Nothobranchius furzeri: one gene and its partners. The protein of the gene in region 3 interacts with the protein of the main gene of each other region in a biochemical or structural test. Links are inferred from orthologs where the notes say so. Each region holds a gene or a part of one and is shown on either strand. Other genes may lie near its edges.

What was found. The genes of interacting proteins can lie anywhere in the genome.
Region 1: the proteins of rnf4 (region 3) and ube2wb form a complex in vitro, tested with the Homo sapiens proteins (2 studies listed by BioGRID). The link is inferred for Nothobranchius furzeri from reciprocal best matches to the Homo sapiens genes RNF4 and UBE2W.
Region 2: the proteins of rnf4 (region 3) and sp1 form a complex in vitro, tested with the Homo sapiens proteins (2 studies listed by BioGRID, with this or other methods). The link is inferred for Nothobranchius furzeri from reciprocal best matches to the Homo sapiens genes RNF4 and SP1.

What each region holds. Positions count from the first base shown.
Region 1 is NC_091747.1:53,051,187-53,054,841, forward strand, and holds part of ube2wb (probable ubiquitin-conjugating enzyme E2 W-B), read right to left. Parts: intron 2,473-3,655; coding exon 2,370-2,472; intron 1-2,369. UniProt on the Homo sapiens protein: Accepts ubiquitin from the E1 complex and catalyzes its covalent attachment to other proteins.
Region 2 is NC_091743.1:62,039,779-62,043,225, forward strand, and holds part of sp1 (transcription factor Sp1), read left to right. Parts: coding exon 1-483; intron 484-1,913; coding exon 1,914-2,055; intron 2,056-3,274; coding exon 3,275-3,447. UniProt on the Homo sapiens protein: Transcription factor that can activate or repress transcription in response to physiological and pathological stimuli.
Region 3 is NC_091741.1:64,325,171-64,328,925, forward strand, and holds the start of rnf4 (E3 ubiquitin-protein ligase RNF4), read left to right. Parts: upstream 1-1,419; 5' UTR 1,420-1,565; exon of another isoform or gene 1,566-1,610; intron 1,611-3,755. UniProt on the Homo sapiens protein: E3 ubiquitin-protein ligase which binds polysumoylated chains covalently attached to proteins and mediates 'Lys-6'-, 'Lys-11'-, 'Lys-48'- and 'Lys-63'-linked polyubiquitination of those substrates and their subsequent targeting to the proteasome for degradation.

The DNA.
Region 1 (3,655 bases), on a different chromosome or scaffold from region 3:
ATGGCTTCTGAGGCACGACTTCACCGATTTCAGGCTTCAGTTTCTACCAACCACGGAACAACCACAGAGACAGCTTTTAAAATGATTAATGCAGCCACCCATAAGGTAGACACAAAAGTTTTTCCACTTAAGTTTAGAAAAGTGGTCCTCTGGGCTTTAGTGCCCCCGCTGCAGAACTCTTAACAGATAGGTGCCAATATCGGATCATCTAGTGATGCTGAATTCAAACATTACTGTCAAAACATCATAAAAGAAAACTGAAGCTAAGACAGTGTAAGAAATGAGTGACCCTTTCAACTAGGCTGGATAAGGCTTCAGAGAGTGCAGAATGCAGCGGCTAGATTCCTGACAAACACCTCTTGACGCTGTCACATTTCACCTGTCCTTGCACGCTTGCACTAGCTGCCGGTTAAATATCGTATCCAGTTTAAGGTCTTAACCTTAGTTTACAACATCCTGAATGGTCAAGCCTCTGCTCATCTGTCAGAACTGCTCATGCCTCATGTTCCACCCAGAACCCTGAGATCAGCAGATCATTTACTTTTGTACATCCCAAAAATGAAGTATAAATCTCGTGGGGAGCGGGCCTTTGTGTTCGCTGCTCCTAAACTTTGGAATGCTCTCACCCTTAGTGTTCGACAGGCCCCAGAACTGGGTTGATTCAAGTCTGTACTGAAGGACTACTTCTACTATTTAGCTTTTGATCAATGACCAAGCTTTTATTGTTATAGAATCTTCCCTGTTGAAATGTGCTAACCTTTTAGCATTGTTTTTATTGTGACTTTGTTTTTACTCTAGTATGTTTCTTTTACATTTTTAGGTTATCCCTTTTATCTCTTTTATGATATTTATCTTGTTTTTATCTTGGGGTTTTCCTTTTACTACTACTGTACAGCACTTTGGTCAGCTGTCATGCTGTTTTTAAATGTGCTTTATAAATAAACTTGGTATGGTATGGTATGGATAAAGATCCACAAACGTGGATCTACAACAGCTTTTCTTTGAGCCTCTATTGGCGCTTACACATTAGCGTAGGTACGGGCCCATAAGGTACCGAACGGCACCGGAATTTGGTTTCACACACCGGTCCGATTAGCGTTTTCAGTGCCGAGGCGACTTTTTCCCAGACCTTCTCCCCAGCGGTCAGACTGGGACCGAGGCGACACTACGGACTGACTGGCCGGCTGAAATTACGCCTACCGCCTCCGATCTGCGAGAAGAATCAGCCAGCCGGGGGTTCCTGCATGTGCGGTTCATTTTCATGCTGGATGCTGTTGAGTTAACTTCTGTCTGTTGCACGGAGCTGCCGATCCGGAGCTGCTATTAAGTGTGGGAGCGGGAGAAAAGAATAGCTTTGTTTGAGTGTGTGTGTGTGCATGCATGCTCCCATTCTCCGCATCGGAGCTCTTGCCCCTCGCAAGCAGACAGCTGCTCAGGGGAGAAATCAGGGGGTGGGCGGCACAAGATTATGAGGGGACACAGAGTAAATTAATAAAATAATGTGGTTCAGAGTCTCCAAAAGCAACACAGCTCATGTCCGCCTTTTGGTACCTTATGGAACGGACTTTCCCGCGCGTATTAAGCGCCCCCCACAGGCTTGGGGATTTCCGCATCTTGAGAAGTTCCTCGGATTAATATGTAAACACTACACCGACCATACCAGCCCAAACTCACGCCATCCTGCCCGACCAAACCCCGACCGTTACGACGCTAGTGTGCAAGCGCCATATAAAGCACATGACACTTTGTTGGGGTCCACAATGCCCTAGGAGCTCTGATAATGAATATTAAATGAGCTGCATGCTGATTGGCTGGTTTAATGGCTCAATGACACTGCTCAAGCTAGAATCTCTGTACAGCAGTGTACAATATCCATATTATTCAATAGAAAGCTACAGATCTATCTGGCATTCATTATAAGTTTGGATATACCCTGTACATCCTGGAACGTTACATGTGTTTTCCCTTTGTTTATAAGAACATTAGCAGTAGCTCGGGCTAGCATTTTTCTGCAGTTAGCATTACTGAGATCAAAGTTTATTCATTGCGGATGTTGAAGTGGGTTGGAGCATGCTAATGTAGGGAGGTGCGTCTATGCTTATGACGCGTTAAACCAGTTTTTGTCAGGATGAACCGTTTCTCCGTGACCATTACAACTTTACTAATTTACAAGTTGCAGACTTTTTGGTACGCTACATAGACATCTCAAGTTGCCTCTATTCAACAACAAGGTAAAAGTGGTTGTTGAATTGTAGGACCCATTTAAATATGCGAACACACACACACACACACACACACACACACACACACACACACACACACACACACACACACACACACACACACACACACACACCCTTTGCTCTTACCTGAGGTGAATCAAAAGGATATCGACTACTAAATTTGAATAGCAGCTGAAATTTCTCTCCTTCATAGAGTGTACCGGGCGCTCCCTCCATATCTACAATCCACCTAAAAACAAAAAAGGACAATGATGACTAAAACATTCCCCCGGTGCCCCAATAAAGAACACAGGTTACCCAAATGTTTACTGTCGAATATAAACGTTACAGGGGTGGTAATCATATTTTCTGAACCATTGGTATTGAAGCTGCTTTACCAAATCAGCACAGCAAGTTGGCCATTCCATATAAACACAGTCAAAAGACTCTCATACCTCCGTCGGCTAGGCCACGCCCCCCAATACGGGAATGCGCATTGCCAGAGTAAATGGGAGAGCACAAATCAACAATCACATTTTTCTATGCCTAAACATCTTTGGTGTCTGTGACTTCAAATGGTGTTTTTTCTTTTTGGGACTCTGGTAGTTTGTCCTTAAGTTGAAGTGGTAGCAGCTGGCTGTTTCTCCTTATCTGATATTAATATTATATGTGCTTGGTCTCGTCTTGGTAACAAAGGCATTTTTACTTGGCCTTTAAAAATGGGACCCAATGCTTGACACAGCTTTAAAGGGTTGGATTGGGGGGTTAAACTACGAAATAGTTCCCGAGCGCAGCCGTGTCTGCAGCACACCGCGCCTCCCCACACAAGTGTGTGTGACAACTAGGGCTGCACGATATTAGGAAAACCGGCTATATTCGATAACAATGATTAAATTGCGATAACAATATTACTTGCAATAAATAAAAACTTATCTCATGAACAAAAATAATCAAAAACAAAGAAGAAAAAAAAAAACGAGAAAAGCAAAAGATGTGAGGAAAGGGAAAAAGATAATGAACAAGAAAAGGTAATCAGTGGATCCCAGGAAAAGCAGAATCAGCAAAAAGAGCAGAACAAAGCTAACTCATGTGTTTGCTAACCATCAAAATTAAGTACTGTCCGCCTCAGGGGCGGGCATCTAATCTATGAGAACCCACCCTTTTGGCCAAATGGGTGAAGAGCTCTATTTGATTTGTTAAAAAAAACATCAGGCTTCCATTTGATTGACAGAATGCATTATGTGTAGCAAACATTTGAGCTGATCATTCATTGCGATATTTATCTGTTCTTTGTGATATGCATATTGTGCAAGCTGATATCGCGATAACAATATATTTACGATATATTGTGCAGCCCTAGTGACAACTATGGGACTTTAATCTTTAATATGGTCAAGGGCCTGGTCTTGGTTCTCTCTCATCTTGGTAATGTC
Region 2 (3,447 bases), on a different chromosome or scaffold from region 3:
AAAACCCAGCCTCCTCTCTTGGTGTCCCAATTCAGCCAGACAACAGAGCAGAGCAGCAGCCTCAACAAATCCTCATTCAGTCTCCTCAGGTTATTCAAAGTGGAGCACCTCTTCAGACCATACAAGCCAGTACCGTTGCAAGTGCAGGTGGTCAGGTGTTTGCAGCTCCAACACTCAGCCAAGAGGGGCTTCAAAATCTTCAGATTATGCCAAACACAGGGCCTATCCTCCTGCGCACTGTAGGCCCTAATGGCCAGGTTAGCTGGCAGACCCTTCACATCCAGAGTCCAGCAGGTGCACAGATAACACTAGCCCCAGTGCAGTCTCTGCCCCAGCTCGGGCAGACTCAAGGAGCTACCGGAGCTGGAACGGTACCGGTGCAGATCCCAAATCTTCAGACCATAAATCTCAACTCACTTGGAAGCACAGGGCTGCAGATGCATCCTCTGCAGGGAATCCCCATCAACATCACAGGTGCATCAGGTTAGACCAGCTTGTTTATAAGTTTCTCATTATGTGTCTCAATATGCTTTATAATAACCTCCAGTCAACAGTAGGACCATGCTTTCTATAACTCCTGAGTTATGGAAAACAAATTTGTGTCATTTCTATTTAATTAGCCCACATTTTATCATGACTGTTTACGAACCATTTATTTCCTAAATATGATAAAATTTAGATGCAAAAAGAGAAAAAGTACATGCAAACAACAACAATGTCTCAGGATTAGTATCTTTAAAATGAGGTTTCGATGTTTGGTATCGCTTCACTTTGCATGCAAGTTAAATTCTGGTTAAACCAGTTCTACTATCTGAGTTTTCCCTGAGCCTTAAACTGTAAACAAGCTGTTTGTGTTCGATTTCTTCATCTGATAGTTAAATTACACTGAAGGCAGTTTGGCATAGTTACTGTATTACACAGGGTATCCGCGGGTCCTTAAAAAGTCTTAAATTGACTTTTCCAAATTTAAGGCTTTGAAAATCCTTAAAAATGACAAATAATCCTTAAATACAGTTTCCAAAGGTCTTAAATTACCAAAGACCCAATAAACTAGACTGTTTTATTTCTATGACATTTTTGTGAATTTCTAGTTAGTGTTCAGCATTTTTTGTGTACGATGTTGGTGTAAGCGGAACCGCACATATTCAGTTGGTTGTGAAAGGGAGCTATTTTTAGATGAGCACATTCGCTGGTTAAGCTAGTGGGAGCTTACGCCATGGAGAAGTGCAAGTTTAATGGTAACTGGATGGCTAATCCCACGTTCGTGGCGTGGTTAGGAAATTATAGCAGAAATTACATTTTAAAAAATAGCTTAAATTTGGTCAAAGTGGCCTTAAAAAAGGTCTTAAAAAGTCTTAAATTTGACTCACTTCAACCTGCAGTTACCCTGATTACAGCACAGGACCATTCCCCTCTTCTCTCAACCCTGTTTGTGTTTGTTGCTCCTAAATTGAGCAAATTCCAACAATTGTGAGAAATCAATTATGGAATATCTGATTCACCTTTCAGTGTCAGAGCTGACTTTACACTAGCATTTACACAAGTGTGGAGGGTAAAAAAAAGCGTAAACATTCGTATCATTCAAATTGGTTGAATGGTTTTGTTTACAATGGTACAACAAAACACTATAATCCTCTCCAGTTAGCCAGCTATGTGGAGATGAAGCTGAGTTTTTGGTGTTCAGTCTAAGCATGCACTTCTCTTCCCATGGATGCAAAATGCATTGACCAGTTGTTCAGCCATTCTGGCTAAGCTGCAGACAATTAACGGCAACTTGTTATTGTCATAAAAAATTAAGTAGAAACCTTGCTGAAAAGTGTGGTTGTTTTCTATACCGAGTTTGATAAATAAAATTTCTTCAGACAAAGAAAATCCTCAACACTTTTTCCCACGCTCTTCCTTCATGGGTGTAGGTGAGCAGCCGTTGCTGACTGCTGGAGAAAGTTTGGACAGTAGTGCAGTTATGGAAGATGCAAGCATGAGCCCACCCTCTCAGGGGCGCCGGAACCGCAGAGAAGCCTGCACTTGTCCTTTCTGCAAAGATGGAGAAGCCCGGTGAGTGACTGAAGGTTATGTTATAATGTCATCCTGGTCAGATTTTAATGTAACTCTGAGTTTTTATGTTCTTATGATGAAATGTTATTTGTAATTAGTTTTTCACAAAAACAAAACATGCTTTTATCTTAAAAAAAAACATTTCGTAAGTACATTTGTCAATGCTGGTCAAAAATGTCTATTTTTCTTTCATTACATGAGATTTAGTGACATCTAGTGGTGAGGTAATTCAGGTTTGCTGTTTGAAACCATTTAATTGCTCATGTGTTTTTTTTTTAACCCTCTCAGGCTCAAAATAAGTTTGGATAAAAGGAAGTGTTGTCCAAGTGTTTTGACTGTTATACGTTGTTTATTCATTTTCCACTATGGAAATCACCAAGAGACGAGTGAGCATTGGTGATGATAGAATGAAGAACTAATGTTTTAAGTTCCTGCAATCTTCCATTACCCCAAAATTCCACTACCTCCGCTCCGCCCCCGCCTTCCGCAGCCGCTCCCTTCCGAACTCAATTTTTACTGGTACCCGCTCCGGTGCGGAGACCTGAGGTGCGCAAACGGGCATGCGCGGGATTTTCGAGATCTTGCAATACAGTCCGAGCAATAAACGTGGAACTTAGATCCAAACACCCGACCCGTTGTGTGGGAGCAGCATCGAAATGAACTGTTTAATCTGCCCATCATTTGTGTTGAGAGATCAGCAGTGCTTGGATCAACAAAGTGTGACTACTTTGATTGTAGAAACTGTATTTATGGCTTATTTTTGTGCATTTAAAGTTCAGCCGCCATTGATAGTTGTTAAAAGTTGTTAAACCTGTGCATATGAAACAAAAAACGCCTTTTTTTAATCAATTTATTGTGAAATAACGGAAGCTGTGTTTACTCCTTTTCCTGTTGGGCGGTTGTGGTTTCTGTCCATTGACTGCGGAGGTGCTCCGGCGTCCGGCAAAAATAGAATCGATCCTATTTTTGCCGGATGGCGGAACGGCGGGCGGCGCACTGCGCCGCACGGCCACAGTAGTGGAACAGCTCTGATTGATTACAACGGGATCGATTTTGCTGCGGAGTTCGTGCCGGAGCGCAGCGGAGCGGAGATAGTGGAATTTTGGGGTTAGTGTCCATTCTTACTTCGATACAGAGGGTAATTTGACCTAGAAATTTGGAAGCAAATAATTCTTTCAAACTCATGTTTTGGCAATTGTTTATTTTATTTGTCCAACAGAGACCCAAATAAAAAGAAGCAGCACATTTGTCACATTAGTGGCTGTGGGAAAATTTACGGCAAGACATCCCACCTCAGAGCACATCTCCGCTGGCACACTGGAGAACGTCCCTTTGTCTGCAGCTGGGCGTTCTGTGGCAAACGGTTCACTCGTTCAGATGAGCTTCAGCGCC
Region 3 (3,755 bases):
TTTGACTTTTAACAGGCAGTTTTAAGATCAGTTCCTTCTTTTTGTCCATGACATGTGACATGCATGTTTTGGGTGAAAGCTGGGTGGACCAAATCCACCTGAGAGGATTTAGCTTTTTAATAAATTCAGTTTAAAATCAAAAGTGAATGATTCTGTTCTTACAGACCTTTATTTGACAACTTGTCTTTTCAGTGCTGCGTTCAGGAATCTGGCTCGGTGAGGCGCTCATGAAGGCGCGGCCCTAAAGCAGACCCTGCCAGGTCACGCTGGAATTTTCCAGCCCCCGATCAGGTTTTCCCACAATGCACTGGGTCACCATACAGTACTGCAGCTCCCACAATGCTTCTGGCAGTTGTTGACAGATAGGTGGATAGATATGTAGCTTTCCTTTTGTCACATGTTTCCAATCTCATAGATCTTTACTTAAAACATGAAACTGATTTTGTTTATTTCATGTTTATGTAAACATTCGTGCATCTGCCTCAGCATCTTTGACCTGGCTCTGGCACCACTGGACCTGTTTGCTTCAGCTCATCTTTTGTTGAATGTTTTTGCTTCATTTGTGACAGCAGGAAGCTGTGAAAGTTTGCGTGGCTGATGTCATTGATGCATTTGTTGATTTGACTTCAAATAAAATCTGAATGTTGAAACTTTTATGTTGACCTGTTTGAGCCATCTGTTCCTTGGTCAATACAAGATGTTTGTTTTACTCTGACAAATCCTCCTTCTGGTTAAGAACCATATTGTCAATGCCTTCTGATACAAAATTAAATCATAAATGATTTTAATCATCTCAGAATAAATTTTTTGATCACACCAAAATGTTTCAGTGGTCTGATCAGAGTTTTTCTGGACAAGCTCTTCAAATAAAACTTGTTGAAAGTTTAAAAAAAAATGCATATGTTCAAATGCGTTTTGACTATGGTTGTAAACAGTGATGGTTTAGATCTGGACCCCATGTGGTTCAGATGTAAATTCAAGGTGGTTTGTGAGGAAAATATAATCAGTATTTTCTGCTGTTGAGTTTACCATTTTAGGTTCAAAATAGATCTGGTGAGTATTTCTAATAATTTTAAATATTTTTGTATGATGGAGAACTTTGACGCAAATCACACTTCATTTTAAAAATATTATATGCAAAATTTACTGATATTATTTTTACTTTATTGATAACATTATTTTTGTAACAGAACCTTAGTCAGAGTGATTGTAAGTTTAGTCCTGGAATAGTTCTATCATGTTGGAGGCTTGATTTTGGCATCAATAAAATCAGTTTCAAACTGAACCATTAAATTTGTGTACTGCATTGATTATTCAAGAAAATGGAATTGGAGATAAATATATTACTATCAAATAATATGATTTTCTTAAATTTGTTTTAACACATTTTTAACGTCGCAGTTCCATCTGAACTTTGCAGGGGGCGCTAGTGAGCTCACCGTTAGAGTACAACTTCCGGTTGTAACCGCAGAAGGCGCAGAAAGTAAAAGCTAACATTACAATCGTTCGTTTCGGTGTTCTGGGGCAGAAGTAGATTTTCTTGGACCGCGAATTCTCCGTTTGAGGTGAGACGTGTCACGTTCGAGCCGAACACATGAAAACACCTGGTGGTGAGTGAGAGAAGCTAACTGCTAACCAGTTGTGAGAGAAGCTAACTGCTAACCAGTTGTCTCTGGTCGTGATGGTAAAACGAAACTCCATCCGTTTAGATTTTGGACCGAAGCCACCTGTTTTTGTTATTTTAGTGACACATTGACTTCCTTGAAGAACACTTTGAAATTAATTGCGCTTAAATGAATACGCCTGTAAACAAATACCATCCTCAGTACTGTAGATTTAGATGGAAGTACTGTAGATTTAGATGGAAGGTATCAGGTGTGAGGAGTTTCTACTAAGGTGTAAAGATACTAGTGAGACCAGCCATGTCTGCTTTAGAGACAGCGTCCACAAGGTAAAGACAGGAAGTAGAGTTAGAGGTTGCGCAGCTTAAGAAGAAAGGGGCAGCTTATTGTGGTGACAGAGGTGGTATGGGTGTGCTGGTACTAAACAGAATGTTAAGTTAAAAGATTAAAACAATGCCATCTTGGGAATTTCACCCAAGGAAAATAAAATGGTACCTTTAGGCGCACATAGGTTCAATGCTCTCACAAAGGCGACAGAAACGAGGTGTACGCAAAGTCCACAATTTTATTTCGTGTTTTGTTAAAAGGACAGCAGTTTAAACTACTAATTTAAAAATAGAAAGGGAGAATTAAAACAAGGAAAGAAAATAATTAGTGTTACCAGGCTGGAGCTTACCAAGGTAAGGTGGACCCACTGGAGGTTCTAGCAACAACACAAACTAAATACCAATAGTCACCCAAAGCACCAGTGAACAGTCACACAGATGTGAAGGGGGGCCCACACCAACTCGCACACGGAAGAACCACCGCCACCACCCTTGGCTCCAGCCTGGACAAATAAAAGTTAAAAACCACAATAAAATAAACTCTGTTGAAATACAATAGTGCTCCAAAATCCTCATGCGTCAGAGGTGAGAAAAGGTCTCCCTTTCCACTCCAACCAACATGCTGGGCGGGAGAACGTCTGGCGGAGGAGCACCAGCACTGGTTAAAATCCTCGGTTATGCTCTGAGTTTACATGCAGCCAATATCCGGGTTATGATCGGGTTAAGGTCGGTATTCGGGTTTCTGAGTTGATCAGAATAACCCGTTTACAAGCATAATAAATAGAAAGAGTTACCCCTAACTTGCATAACCCGATTTAAATGCGGACGTTGGGGTAGCGTCAGGACGTATGGACTACGTCAAGACGCAATATGCGTCATATTTCGCTGTCTCTGTACTTTCGGCTGTCAACAAAAGACATAATGTTCATACTTTTCACCAGACCGATGAAGACAGGTTTCCTCGTCACTCCAAAAGTGTGGTGCTGTGCCGCGACTCGCCATGTTGCTCCCATCTTGTTTACTTCCAGTGTTCTGGCGCATACAAGACGTCTCGCTTCTCAAAAGACCAAGATCCCTTGCGAACAGAGCATGCGCAGAACACACGCTTTGAAGGGGATATCCCGATATGTGTTTACACGACCAAACATTCGGGTTAGAAAAGGGTTACCCCAGGTGTAGTAACCGGGTTTTTAAAAACCCGGTTATGAGCATATCCGGGCTTTTGGCGGTGTTTACATGGCCGTGCGGAACCGGGTTATTGTGAATATTCGGGTTTTAAAAGGGTTACTGGCTGCATGTAAACGTACAGTGAGCGGTGGCCCAAACTGCTCCCGATAGGTCGGTCCGCTCTGTCGAACCGCTCCTCGGTTGTTGAGGGAGAGAGGGGAGGGGGGTCACAGCAGTGACTCAAAACACTTTGTCGTAGCATCACAACACCTCGGGTCCTAAACAAAAAAGGTAATAAACCTTATTAACCCAGAAAAGAATATTCATACTGAGCGTGCAGGGAGGGGGCGCACCGCACATACATACCACGCCGACAGCAGTAGATCACCTAGAAGGCAAGCACGCTTCTTTTCCAACAGCATGCGGTAACGTTACATTATGTTAGATGTTTTGGAGTCAGAGAGGACAGACTGAGTTGGTTTGGATATGTCCAGATGAGAGACAATGATTACATAGGTAGGAAGATGATGAGGTTAGAGTTAGGGGTAGACCGATATTGCTCATGTAACGGGTATTACAATTAAATAATATGAAATAGGTATTGAACTATTGTCTTGACAACTCTGGACCAGTATCAAAA